Linked DNA regions of Xenopus tropicalis. The protein of the gene in region 1 interacts with the protein of each later gene in a pairwise test. Links are inferred from orthologs where the notes say so. Each region holds a gene or a part of one and is shown on either strand. Other genes may lie near its edges. The genes, in order: drg1, rwdd1 and zc3h15.

Region 1 (4,042 bases):
CCAGTTCATTCTCTATGATCTTCTTGTGTCCGAGTGGTTTCAGTACATCCAAAACAATAAGGATCAAGTTACATGTTCGTGCCACTAAACAAAACAAAAATACATCAGCAGTAAAAATGTGTCCATCGTCCTAGGAGACTCAATCCTCAAAAATTAAAGATCTTACCTGCAATCACCTGGCGACCACGGCCCTTTCCATCCTTTGCCCCTTCTATGATGCCTGGAAGATCTAGCAACTAAAAACAAAAATATACCATCTTTGGTCATTGAGCTTAATGTCTCCGCATTCAGAGCATATCCATCTCACAAATGAAAATGTCATATACTATCTCAAATGTCTCCTGTAGCTTTGGAGTCTAAAGGGCAACATTTAAAGCAAATTTGAGATTTCTTGGCAAACAACACTCTTGAAAAATGCTACAGAGCATTTCTAGGCTCACATTTATCATTTGCTGGTTACATTTTCTAAATTACACTCAAGTTTCACCATAGTGAAAATGCTTGAAAACATACTGCACAATATTTACACAGGTTTCTGTTGATTTTAGTAAAAAAAATTCAAAAAAAAATCAAGAAACTGTTGAGAATACTTCAGTGCAGAAAAAGTTCAGTTGAAATACACACTAATGTTTTGACTGGATTTTGACAGGTTTCAGCCTGCACTTTTTGAAAGAGAATAAAGGAGACAATAGAAATCTATTATTTAGAATGCTTGGGATTTTCTGGAAAAGGGATATTTCTGTATTTAAGTCTACTAATATAATTAAACATTTTTACCACCAATATGGATTCATACAGCTTAGTTTGCATCAAGAACAAGGTACAGTTTTATTATTACAGAGGATGTTAAATTATTTGCTTATAATGAAGTCTAAAAGAGATGGCCTTCCCATAATTCAGCAGTTTCTGTATAACAAGGTTTCTGGATAATGGAGTAGCCTTTATTTTTTTTTTTTTTTAAGATTTTGTATTTCAACTTAACCTCTGATAAATAAGCTGCTATTTTAATTATTTTATATAAGTAAAACAAACACCTGAATTTTTGCTCCTTTATATCGCACAACACCAGGAACTGTTGTTAAGGTGGTAAATTCATAGGCTGCCACTTCAGAATAAACTCCAGCCAAGTTACTGAGTAGTGTAGATTTCCCAACAGATGGGAACCCAACAAACCCAATTCGAGCATCTCCTGTCTTAGCAACATCAAAACCTAAGTAAGAGACACAAATCATACATGTAAACTGTCAGCACATATCAAAAATATCAGAAAAAATCATCATCCTTTGTGCTCTTGGCCATTCTAACAGCTTATATTACATGTGAGAGCAAAAAAAATATATAGTTGTAATAGTAAGAACTAAAGCCAATCACAGTCCCACAGATATTGTACCACTACTTGAAAATAGAACCATTAAAGCAGACAATTTATCTGTGAGCTCTGTGAGGGAGAACATAGGCTTGATTAGCAAAGGTATATTCAACAGTAGGTACCACAGTTGAGCTTATACAGGTTAGGATTTTTCAGTAATTTGAAGCACCATGCTTAAGTCTAGTAAATGACAACATTTACAAATAACCCAAACCAATAGGATTTTTTGCCATATCCAAAGGCCTTTTAAGATGTTTAAATGTAACTTTGAAAAAAGTCTTTTTTTTTTTTTTTTTTACTTAAAAAACACAGAAGTTGTACTCATTCATGTACATCTCCCCAACATTGCCATCTCCCCAACATTGCCAATGTGCAGATGAAGTAACATGCTTCTCAAAATCAGGAGGCTACTGGGTATCAAGGTGGTTGTTACAGGGGTTATACAAACATGTTTAATGATCTATGTCTTAGGTTCTCATGACTGACGCCCTACACCAAAACATAATAAGGTAGGTGCTGGATTCAGAAATGCTAATCATAGTGATAAACGTGGCACTGAGGAAGGAAACCAGGTTCCATATTTATGCATCTTGTTTATTTCAATAAGCCAAAAAGATAAAAAAATTATTAATAATGTACATGGAAACAGTGACTACCCAGTGTTAAAATTTTAGTAAAAGTGGAAGTTTGCCTTTAATTACCTTTTGGTATTTTATTAAGGGGCTTATTCCAAAAAGAATTCAAATGGAATTTATTATAAAATATATATATATATATACACACACACAAATGTTTTTGTTTTACTTATTATTTCTAATCTAGCCAGATTCAGCCTGCAAAAAAATACTTTCTGGTTATTGTTACTGGCCATGGCAATCAAAAAACAGATTCAACCAAGAGATTCTTATGTTCGATTATCTTTCTTTTCTGTTCTTCTTAAATCCCGATTTGCGAAACACAGCATGGTTGCCAGGGTAATTAGGCCCTGGCAACCAGATAGTAGTTGATATACCTTCTCCAGGTCCTCCTCCGCCGCCTCCTTTTGGGGTAATCAGCTCACGTCTTAGTTTGGCAAGACGAGCTTTCAGCAAACCCAGGTGATGAGCTGTGGCTTTATTTTTCTGTGTCCGGGCCATCTGCAGGACAGAAAGCAGGCGTGTCACTGTCATACCTGGCACAGGTTATTGTCATTATTGCCTTTATGTTATCATAAACCATGACTGTCCCACACAGCTGCTTCAGCCATAACCATTCATCCCAGTGATTATCCTTACACACGTGCTCTCAACTATGTCCCCAACAAGTCGATATGCGCTAACCCTCCAAGTGTCTCAGTCACCTCGGACTCTATCTCGGCGATCTTAGCCAGCGTCCCGCTCATTGTGCCTCTTGACTAGGTGGCTTTTCCAGCACGAATCAGTAACAGAAAAGACAGGACCTCGCAGGGACACCACTGCTCATGCGCAGACACAACAACCGGCAGGAATGACGTCACACACGTACGTTCGGCCTCTTCCTTTTAGCTGAGGATAGCCCTTCGTGACGCAGATTTTCCTACTCTATGGTAAAAGCTGTCTTACTGGACGTTTTGTGCGTCCAATCTGAAAGTTGCAAAAACATTATATAAAATATAGAAATGTATAAATGAGTATTTTTATAAAAGTGGTGTAACTAGTAGTTGCTGGACCTCACAGTAAATTGATTTTAGGGACCCCCCCCTAAACCTTGGGAATGAGCTATTTTTCATAAACATATACTGAAATAGAATATTTTATTTTTTTCATGCCAGTGTGGAGTCCTATACCTTAATGCAGGGGTAGGGAACCTATGGCTCGGGAGCCAGATGTGGCTCTTTTGTTGGCTGCATCTGGCTCACTGTCAAATCCTTAATAAAAAAAAATAATGGGGGGCGTGGCCTGTGCTCGGCGGATAGAAGACATGTTCTAAGCCTTAGAACATGTCTTCTATCTGCCGAGCGCAGGCCACGCCCTCCTCCACATCGCATCCGGCATCCTTGGCACCCACCCTACCTTGCCCCTGCGCTCGGCGGATAGAAGATGTGTTCTAAGCCTTAGAACACGTCTTTTCTCCGCCGAGTGCAGGCCACACCCTCCTCTGCTTCGCATCTGCATCCGGAATCCTTTGGACCCACCCTAACTTGCCCCGCAGCATCCGCGGCCAAATATATTGTATGGCTCTCACAGAATTACATTTTAAAATATGTGGTGTTTATGGCTCTCTCAGCCAAAAAGGTTCCCGACCCCTGCCTTAATGTGTCCTATAATGCATAAAAATAATAATTACAGAACGTTCAAAATATGCTGTCCGGGGGATGGGCCAGCACACCCCTGAAATTTTTTTCCAAAGACTGTAAGTGAATGATCCATGAGTGTGCGCCCCCAGAAGTGATATCATGTGCAAATGTGCAGCCAAAGCCTAAAAAATAGGTACTTGCACTTGTACAATGTATGGGGGAGTTGACAGCTCTGGAATTATGATAGCTCTTTTCATATACTATTCTAAAGTCGTGAATAATATAAATTGCATCTACCGACTTTACTATTTCTTCTAGGCTTGCCACCTGGCAAGTATTTTATCGGTGTGGTCGGTAAAAATGATGCTTAATGCCAATGTTATTAATAGGAAAAAAAGATAAAAATATAGGAAGGCCTG
Region 2 (4,234 bases), on another chromosome or scaffold:
GTCACAAAGAAGAAACTAAAAATCTTAGGTAGGCAGGAAATGACAATTTATAACACTTAAAACCATTCACCAGTGCAACACTGAACTGCAGTTCTCTCAGGAAGAACCACTGATCTAAACACCCTTCTCTGCTGGTATTCAATTCCTACTAAGCAGAATGGGAAACACACTGTCTATAGCAGACACTTCTGTGAGAAGAAATGATAAACGCACAGTGCCAGCCTGGTACAAGTATCTGCCCCAAACAGCACATTTACAATTCAAGTAAGTGAAAAACAGGGGCCAGCTAATAAGATTCTACAGATCCAAAGTTCTCCCGGACAGGACTTTGCCAAAAAAAAACAAAAACATCCCATGTGCTAGGGGTCTAAAAGGTTTCAGTTGTATTTCAGAAACAGACTTTCACTGTATTAAAATTGATAATACGACTAGTCACCTCACCATCTCTGAATGATAAAAAGGACACATACTTTCCTCATTTTCTCCTGCTTCTGATGTTACTGTGATGGAAAAACTTGTAGGAGTTGTGGATAACACTGCAAATAGAATAATACAGAAATAAGTTTAATATTAACATTTAACATAGCTTTTTAATGAACATTATCATCAAGAATATATTTCCTTGAATCAAACTGTAGAAATATGCATTTACACTGCTCCATGTCTTCCTTACAGAGAACCAGAAGAAGACATCTCTTTGACAATACAGACCTAGCAAAACTACCATAGATGAACTGGTGGTGCTGTGGCAAAAGCTAAAGAAAATCTTGCTTATTCCTGATATATCTCACACATAATATATGATCTCACCTTTAACATCTGGCTTACTTGCTTTTAGAATATAGCAATTCTAGAAACACACTCACAATAAGAGCCATTGCTCACACTACATAGCCATGACACCAACCCTTTATCTAAATTTCGCTAAGGCTAATGGCACATTGGAAGCAGCATCTGTTTTCTAGACCATTATCACAGTCCCTTATTCCTACAGAGGTTTTGGGGTCTACACACTTGTTATTGCACAACTGGCTGTGGACATTTCAAATAGCAGGTTTAAGCTGGCCATACACGCACCAATAATATTGTACAAAACCTCGTTTCGTACGATATTCGTATGGTGGCTCGACAAGGTGACCGATATCGAAAAAGGCTGTGGATAACTCGTCAATGGAGCAATTTAAAAGATTTTGATTGGGCGCCATTGAAGGCGCTCGAGCAAAACCTACATTCTGAATCAGCAGAAGGAGGTTGAATTTCTATTGGTTCTACCTCCATAACGTATGATTCAGTACTGCAACCAATGGCCACACGGAAGATAGAAATTGCTACGTGTGGCCACCTTTAAGGTGGCCATACACGCACCGATAATATCGTACGAAACCTCGTTTCGTACGATATTCGGTGCGTGTATGGTATGTCGGCGAGTCGACCGATATCGCAGGAAGCTGCCAATATCGGCCGACTCGCCGATCGGACCAGTTTGAACATTTTGATCGGGCGCCATAGAAGGCGCCTGACCAAAATCTCCCTTCAGCGCTGAATCGGCAGAAGGAGGTAGAAATCCTATTGTTTCTACCTCCTAACCTGCCGATTCAGCCCTGAATGGTGTGTTGCGGATCTGACGATATTTTGTGCGACCATCTGTATGGCCAGCTTTAGATTAATGGCATACTAAGTGCAGTATCTGCCGACGTACTCCTATCCGCTCTGCCGTCTCCCACTGAAATGGAGTCGGCCTGTGTGCAGACACACACAGCGGATATCTGCATGCCAATGTGAACCAATGCAATTTATTGCTGACAGAGAAAAGCTGAGGCTGTGCCCTGACAGTGCTGCAACAATAGAGTTTGCAGACCTTATGCTGCTGTGGAAATAAGGGGCTGCAACAAGGTGTGAACACAAACAGGGGTACCATTCAGTGCGGGTAAATACTATGCAAGTTCCTTGAAGTGATTACAATCTATGAAATATGGGAAATGTCTTGACTACAACAATCCAACTGATGCACAGAGATTCCAAACTGTGTATTATCAGGACCTTTAAAATGTAAAACATTTAAAAAAAAAAAATAGTATAACAATTATAGATTTTAAAAAAATATCCTGATCTTCAGCATGCAGTCCTGGCATTCCATCCCCACCATATGGGGTCTGTACTTTCACAAAAGTTAAAAAAGGGACCTCTTTGGTGCAGAAGGTATTTTTTCTAAGCTTTATTACATATAGTGCATAAGCTAGGGTAACAGACAGCCCATTATTACTGAATCTACATTAAAGAAACGTGAACGTTCTCTCTAGTTGCCCTGTAGCCCCAGACAGACAGGTGCTGAGAGTTGCAGTTTAAAAGCAGCAGGCGCTACTAAGGTCTGCTCGGATCACAACGTAGTCATTATATTTACAATTCAATACACTACAAACTGCGACAAATGTCTCCTGACCCAGACAGGCCTACGTGTGCGCTTCACTGGCCTAGCGTCCGACTGTCAAACTCATGTTAGCCAATGGGTCCCACGAGTTCCCTCACAACAACCATCAGTCAGGGTCTAACCCAACTCCCACTGGACTACAACACCCAGCAACACCTCGCAGACATCGAATGCCGTGGGATTCTGGGAGTTGTAGTTTACTCTCAGAAGGAAGGCTTCAGGATGTGCAAGCACTCAATGAAAGGAACCGGTTTTCAAGCGCTGCTCACCAGTAAAGGAGTCGGCATAAATAGACTCAAGAGCCTCCAGCTCATTACGCTGCTCCTCGGCGTAGTCCGTCATGGTGTGCGGGCCATGGAGCGATGTGTGCAGAGAAACAAGGAGAGCGCTCAGCCCCTGACTATGGAGCCGGGCCGGTCACGCTCGGGAAAGGATCGTCTTCTCTGGGAATGATTGCTTCCCCCTGGCCTGGGGCACCTCCCCCGCATCGCCATGGGTCCATATTAACCCTAGAGCTGCCAGAGGGATGCGGTCTGTACTAGTTGCTCTCTAGCGCCTAATAAACTACAAGTCCCAAGTCTACATTGGCAGGGGTGCGATCTGATAGGCTAGATAGTACTATAGGCACTGCAGTAATCACGAGTGAAGTCAGCCGGGTAAGTCATGCTCCTAGCTGGTTCCTTGTACATACGAATGTATATATGTATAATGTATCAAACTGCAAATATTTTTGTTTAAACTGTCTGGTTATATCTGAACAGAGTTGATTTTCAGAACTATTTTTTTCTAACTTTGCATGTCCTGGGTCAGTTCCCACAAAACTGCCTGTAAAAATGACTAGTAGTGTATAAGATGACGAGTACTGTTCTAAGCTGTAAAAAAAACTCGTATATAGCAGTGGTATCTATGGTGGATGGTTATATGTTTATCTTTAACCGGGAGTATTTTACACATTAAACTACATAGTTACATAGTTAAGTTGGATTGAAAAAAAAACAAAGTCCATCAAGTTCAATCCTTCCAAGTAAACCCAGCACACACACAAACCTATACTGACCTATCTATACACTCACATACATAAACCATATTTACCAACATCAGTACTAACTGTAGATATTAGTATCACAATAGCCTTGGATATTCTGATTGTTCAAGAACTCATCCAGGCCCCTCTTAAAGGCATTAACAGAATCTGCCATTACAACATCACTAGGAAGGGCATTCCACATTCTCACTGCCCTCACCGTGAAAAACCACCTACGCTGCTTCAAATGGAAGCTCCATTCCTCTAATGTAAAACAACCTCAATCTCGACAGTCTCACCTCATAGCTTAAATCTTCCATCCCCTTTACCAGTTTAGTTGCGCATCTCTGCACTCTCTCCAGCTCATTAATATCCTTCTTAAGGACTGGAGCCCAAAACTGCACTGCATACTCAAGGTGAGACCTTACCAGAGACCTATAAAGGGGCAAAATTATGTTTTCATCCCTTGTGTTCATCCATTTGGGATTTTTAGAAGCCTGTTTATTAAATAGTGAACTCTAACATTCGCCCATTAATAAAAATGCTTCTAAAAATCAAATAGGAATGAATAGAACATGGGTGAGATATTAAGTATTAAACTATAAATGCACATTTAGATAAATATTCCCTTTGTTGTCAGCACCTAGCAGCAGATTTCTAATCTGGTGCAGAGTGCAGCCAAACCCCAGACACAAGTGCTTTTTAAATAAATGCTAAGAGGTGAGCTTCTGGGGCCCTTAGTGTTTACGCAAGTTAGGGAGTGCACAAATGAGCGCCATACC
Region 3 (4,249 bases), on another chromosome or scaffold:
CTCCAATTTAGATTGTAAGCTCTACGGGGCAGGGACCTCCTTCCTCTTGTCTTTGTGTAATCATTAATGCAACTGTACTTTTTATTTAATTGTAATGGTCCCTACTTGTTTATTCATTTATTGTTCTGCTGTACAGCGCTGTGTACATACGTAGTGCTATATAAATTAAAATATACATACATACATACTCATGCTGGACTGTGCAGGTAATATTAAACGCAAGAAAAAAAATTTGTGGGCAAGCATATCCCTAACAGAAGCTGTAACAATGCGTCAAATCAATTGTACAGGCAGCAGAGCACGGACTAATAAAGCTATAGGGGTACCCAGTGTACTTTAATTTACAACTGGTGTTGCCACCTGAAATTTGACCAGTCTAGCTAGTAAATCATCAGCTAGGGCTGGGGAGTTATTACAATCATAGAAGCAATGTACTTGCCAGTAAATTTGTAATACCCTATAATATCTTTCTCCCCGCTGCCCCATTCCCTTTATAAAATCAGACTTGTCTCTGCTTTGCCCATTTTCCCACTTTGCCACAAGTTTTCCATCCCATCAAATCCATCATCCCACCTGCTGAACTAATGCAACTGATCCAACAGTAGGTATTATGAGGGACAAAAGGTGACAATCCTAACTACACTTTTAGAGTATACTGCCTCAAATTCTTAATGCAACTGAAAAGAAAAATTATAGTGCTATATTGAGCAACAACCGGTTTTAAAGCCACTGTTTTGAAGCCACTGTTTTAAAAACCTGAATTAGAAGTACCCTGAATGGTTACCTAATGGAGTTGTTTGTGTACAGTAACTCCTCCGAGCTCCTCTAGTTTTCTAGCACTCAGTTCCCAATAAACCTACTTGGAAAGTCTAGGTGACAGCTAAAACAGCCTTGCCTACTGCTGATCTTTCCTGTGCGATCGGATTCGTCCAACATGGACTCGTAATAGCTGTGACAAATCCAAGGTCCAGGTGTATAATTTTCGGATGAGCTTGTACAAATCCCGCATAAAAATTGCCAGTATAAAACACTGACTGATGCGCTTGTAATTGCTCTGCGCCAGTTGGCATAATACGAAAACTTTTTCTTAAATTTTTATAAACTAATTCATACTTCTAAACGTAACGACAAAGTGGTTCATAGTTGATTGGGAGCGAGGAACTAATCATCTGAATACAGAAAATTGATTAAAAAAAAACCCAAAACGTTCACTATTTATAAGCCAACACCAATAAACCAAATCCCACACCTGTATAAAACACCTGCTCCATTAAACAGTTACAAATTCCACGCTATCCACATTATTTTCCCAGATGTAACGTTATTTTGTTTTATAGCAAAAATCAAAACTAAAAGAATTATATTATTTGGTAAATGCTACATTTTTATTACGTAAACGGAACGCACAAAGTTGATTCTTGTTATCATGTCGTGCGAAATCTCACGATAGTTAGACGGGAAATTACGTCAATTGAGCACTGTATTGCGCCGTAAAGCGAATGTTTTTTCCACGAGTAACGTTGGGTTAGTGCAGCGTGTCTTATAATGCCGCCTAAGAAAGCGCCGGCAGCACCGCAAAGCGGCAAGAAAACTGAACAAAAGAAAAAAGAAAAAATTATTGAGGTAATCGTATATGTATTGTGTTTGTAATAAACGCATACATGTTACGTTTTTTTAGATTTAGTTGCGAGTTAACATGGCCTTCCTCGCCGGAGTCTCTGTAAAAATATTAAATAAAAAAAGACAATTTCCCTTACCCTCCTGACTTAATAATGGTAGGATTTTTGATGCCTGTAGCAATTATACGTTCTTGAAACATTTTATAATATAAGTACATTATAACAAGCAAAGCATTTTTTCCCATGATACAAAAATAACAATAGTCTTTTCAATTTCGAAACCTAAAAGACCTAAGAATACTGTAAAGGCTGGCCAGCACAATAAGGGCTAAGGAGGAAAGGATGGTTTTTGGATTACAGGGAATAGTACAATTCTTAAGAAAAGCTGATTATTGTAATAATAGCATTAAAAAAAAAAACTGTTTATGTGACATTAGTATTGCTATTACTTTTTGTAATTTTTATCCATATTATCACCACTATGTTCGGCTGCTACCCAGTGGCCCCTTCAAATGAAAAGTATATCAAAAATTCAGATTTTTACTTTATTGCACATGTGCACAATCCTGGGCAGCTTTACTTTACATATGTGTGGTCCTGGACTGCTAGAGGGGCCTTGGCAAGCAGGTAAAGATTGTTGAATTGTGCTTTTAGGAGTTTATCCCAACGTACTTCTCCGTTAAAGGGGTGGTAACTTTTAGTATTTTATAGCGATCCTAATTCTAAGCAACTTTTCAATTAGCCTTTGGTTTTTAATTATTTGCCTTAGGCTGATGCAACACGTGGCGTTTTTACGCTGCATATTTTCTCAGCCTAAAAACGCCGAACAAGCCACACAGCCCCTGACTATGGCGTTTTTCAGCCTAGTACTGGTGATGTAGCAAATCCCGTTTCCATGGTGCTAATAGTGCGAAATAGTAAAAAAAGCCGCGTATTTCCGCTAGGTCTGGCAGCTGCCTTTGTGTATACATAGGAATAGGTTGCTGTGCAAATACTTGCGTATTTCGGCAAACGCTTGAAAAATCCGTGGTAAGGCTACAAATTTATTGCTATTGCTACTTTTTAATACTAATCTTTCTATTCAGGCCTTCACCTATTTGGATTCCAGTCAATGCATGACAACCAGATTGTTTAAATTGCAAACTGGAAAGCTGCTAAATAAGTAAATAAATAACCCAAAAACCATCAAGAACGAAGACCAGTTGAAAGTTCTTAATTCAAAGGTGAAAAACCCCTTTAAAATAGCACTAGCCTGACGAAATAGTTAAGCAATAGTAATTGATCACTAAAAAATAGGTACCCCAGTGATTGGTACTTTCCTTGTCTTTTAAAGGGGAAGGAAAGGTAACAACTAAGTAAGCATTATCAGAAAGGTCTATGTAAATACAGCCATAAGCACTCACAGAAACACTGCACTCTATCAAAAGTCCTCTATCAAAAGAAACACAGGGTTTCTTGTCTCCTTTTTTGTAAACATGTTGTTAGGGTATCTGACTTCCTCTCTCAGAAAAATCCTTCATTCCCAGGGCATGAGATTGGTGGGAATATGAGGGATTTTCTCTAGTTAATGGCCATCCCTTTACATTTTCCAAATTAATTTGAGATCCGATGCAGTGGTGGGGAAGAGGTAAGATTTGCCAACAGAAGGATATCATATAAAAAGCTATTTTCTACTCTGCTACCCTCAACCTAAGCCCTTCAGTCTGTGGAGTAGAATGTGTTGTTCATGGTGACACTGACCATTGTTGTGGCCTTGAGGCCATTGTAGAGGAGCTTAGCTTTACAACCATACATTTATATTGTATCTCTATTAGGAGAAAGCACCACAATTAAATTGTTGTATTAAACTTTATTGAAAAACTAGCAATAAGTACACCTGTTGTATTGCACTGTATTCAGTTTACTTTTTTGAATGATCAATAAAAGAAATGTTGGAAATAAAAGAGGAGCTCTGCTTTACACATTTTACAAACATTTTGTCACTGCTTAAGGCAGTCATCGTTTTGCATCTGTACAACCATCATACACATCCATCAAATGCCCTGTTGGCATCAACGTAGCCATCAGCAGTATTTTAGCATCCTAATTGGCAAAGGAAATCACATTGGAATAGTCTTTATGCAGACTATCATCTCAGGAGGTCTGAAAGATGTTATAGCTGAATTGTAAATATTTAGTAATTTGGATATATACCAATAGACGCTAAGATTTTCCTATGTAAAGTGATGATGACATATATTTCACTCCAAAGTTAATTAGTGCTCCTTGCTTAGATTAGGGAGTGAGATTTCATGCAGGAAGCATCTTCAAGAATATAGTCTTGGGTAAGGTGATTCAAATAACTCTTGGCAATGACAAATGGAGCCACTTCTTATCTTTGATGACAAAAATCCCTTTCCCTTGCGGGCAGTAGAAATTGCCATAGGTAAAGCGCAATGCCACCTTATGCATTATTGCATAATTATGCAGGTGAGGTGTTGTGTATACAGTTATTAGCTTCTTTGGTATATTGTTTGTTACCTTGTGGGATCTTTTCTGCACATCATAAATTTGCCTCCTTTGTTTCTGTATTCAATGATTTTATTTTTTGTTATCTTTGTCTTGGGGGTTTGATGTTGCTTATAGGTTTT

What was found.
Region 2: the proteins of drg1 (region 1) and rwdd1 interact in binary tests that used the Homo sapiens proteins (3 or more experiments, as listed by UniProt). The two-hybrid records come from large-scale screens. The link is inferred for Xenopus tropicalis from reciprocal best matches to the Homo sapiens genes DRG1 and RWDD1.
Region 3: the proteins of drg1 (region 1) and zc3h15 interact in binary tests that used the Homo sapiens proteins (3 or more experiments, as listed by UniProt). The two-hybrid records come from large-scale screens. The link is inferred for Xenopus tropicalis from reciprocal best matches to the Homo sapiens genes DRG1 and ZC3H15.

The regions. Positions count from the first base shown.
Region 1 is NC_030677.2:152,071,767-152,075,808, reverse strand, and holds the start of drg1 (developmentally-regulated GTP-binding protein 1), read right to left. Parts: upstream 2,816-4,042; 5' UTR 2,751-2,815; coding exon 2,709-2,750; exon of another isoform or gene 2,689-2,708; intron 2,506-2,688; coding exon 2,382-2,505; intron 1,211-2,381; coding exon 1,035-1,210; intron 237-1,034; coding exon 167-236; intron 85-166; coding exon 1-84. UniProt on the Homo sapiens protein: Catalyzes the conversion of GTP to GDP through hydrolysis of the gamma-phosphate bond in GTP. Appears to have an intrinsic GTPase activity that is stimulated by ZC3H15/DFRP1 binding likely by increasing the affinity for the potassium ions.
Region 2 is NC_030681.2:74,869,728-74,873,961, forward strand, and holds the start of rwdd1 (RWD domain-containing protein 1), read right to left. Parts: upstream 2,855-4,234; 5' UTR 2,771-2,854; coding exon 2,698-2,770; intron 537-2,697; coding exon 471-536; intron 1-470. UniProt on the Homo sapiens protein: Protects DRG2 from proteolytic degradation.
Region 3 is NC_030685.2:45,954,520-45,958,768, forward strand, and holds the start of zc3h15 (zinc finger CCCH domain-containing protein 15), read left to right. Parts: upstream 1-1,440; 5' UTR 1,441-1,545; coding exon 1,546-1,623; intron 1,624-4,249. UniProt on the Homo sapiens protein: Protects DRG1 from proteolytic degradation. Stimulates DRG1 GTPase activity likely by increasing the affinity for the potassium ions.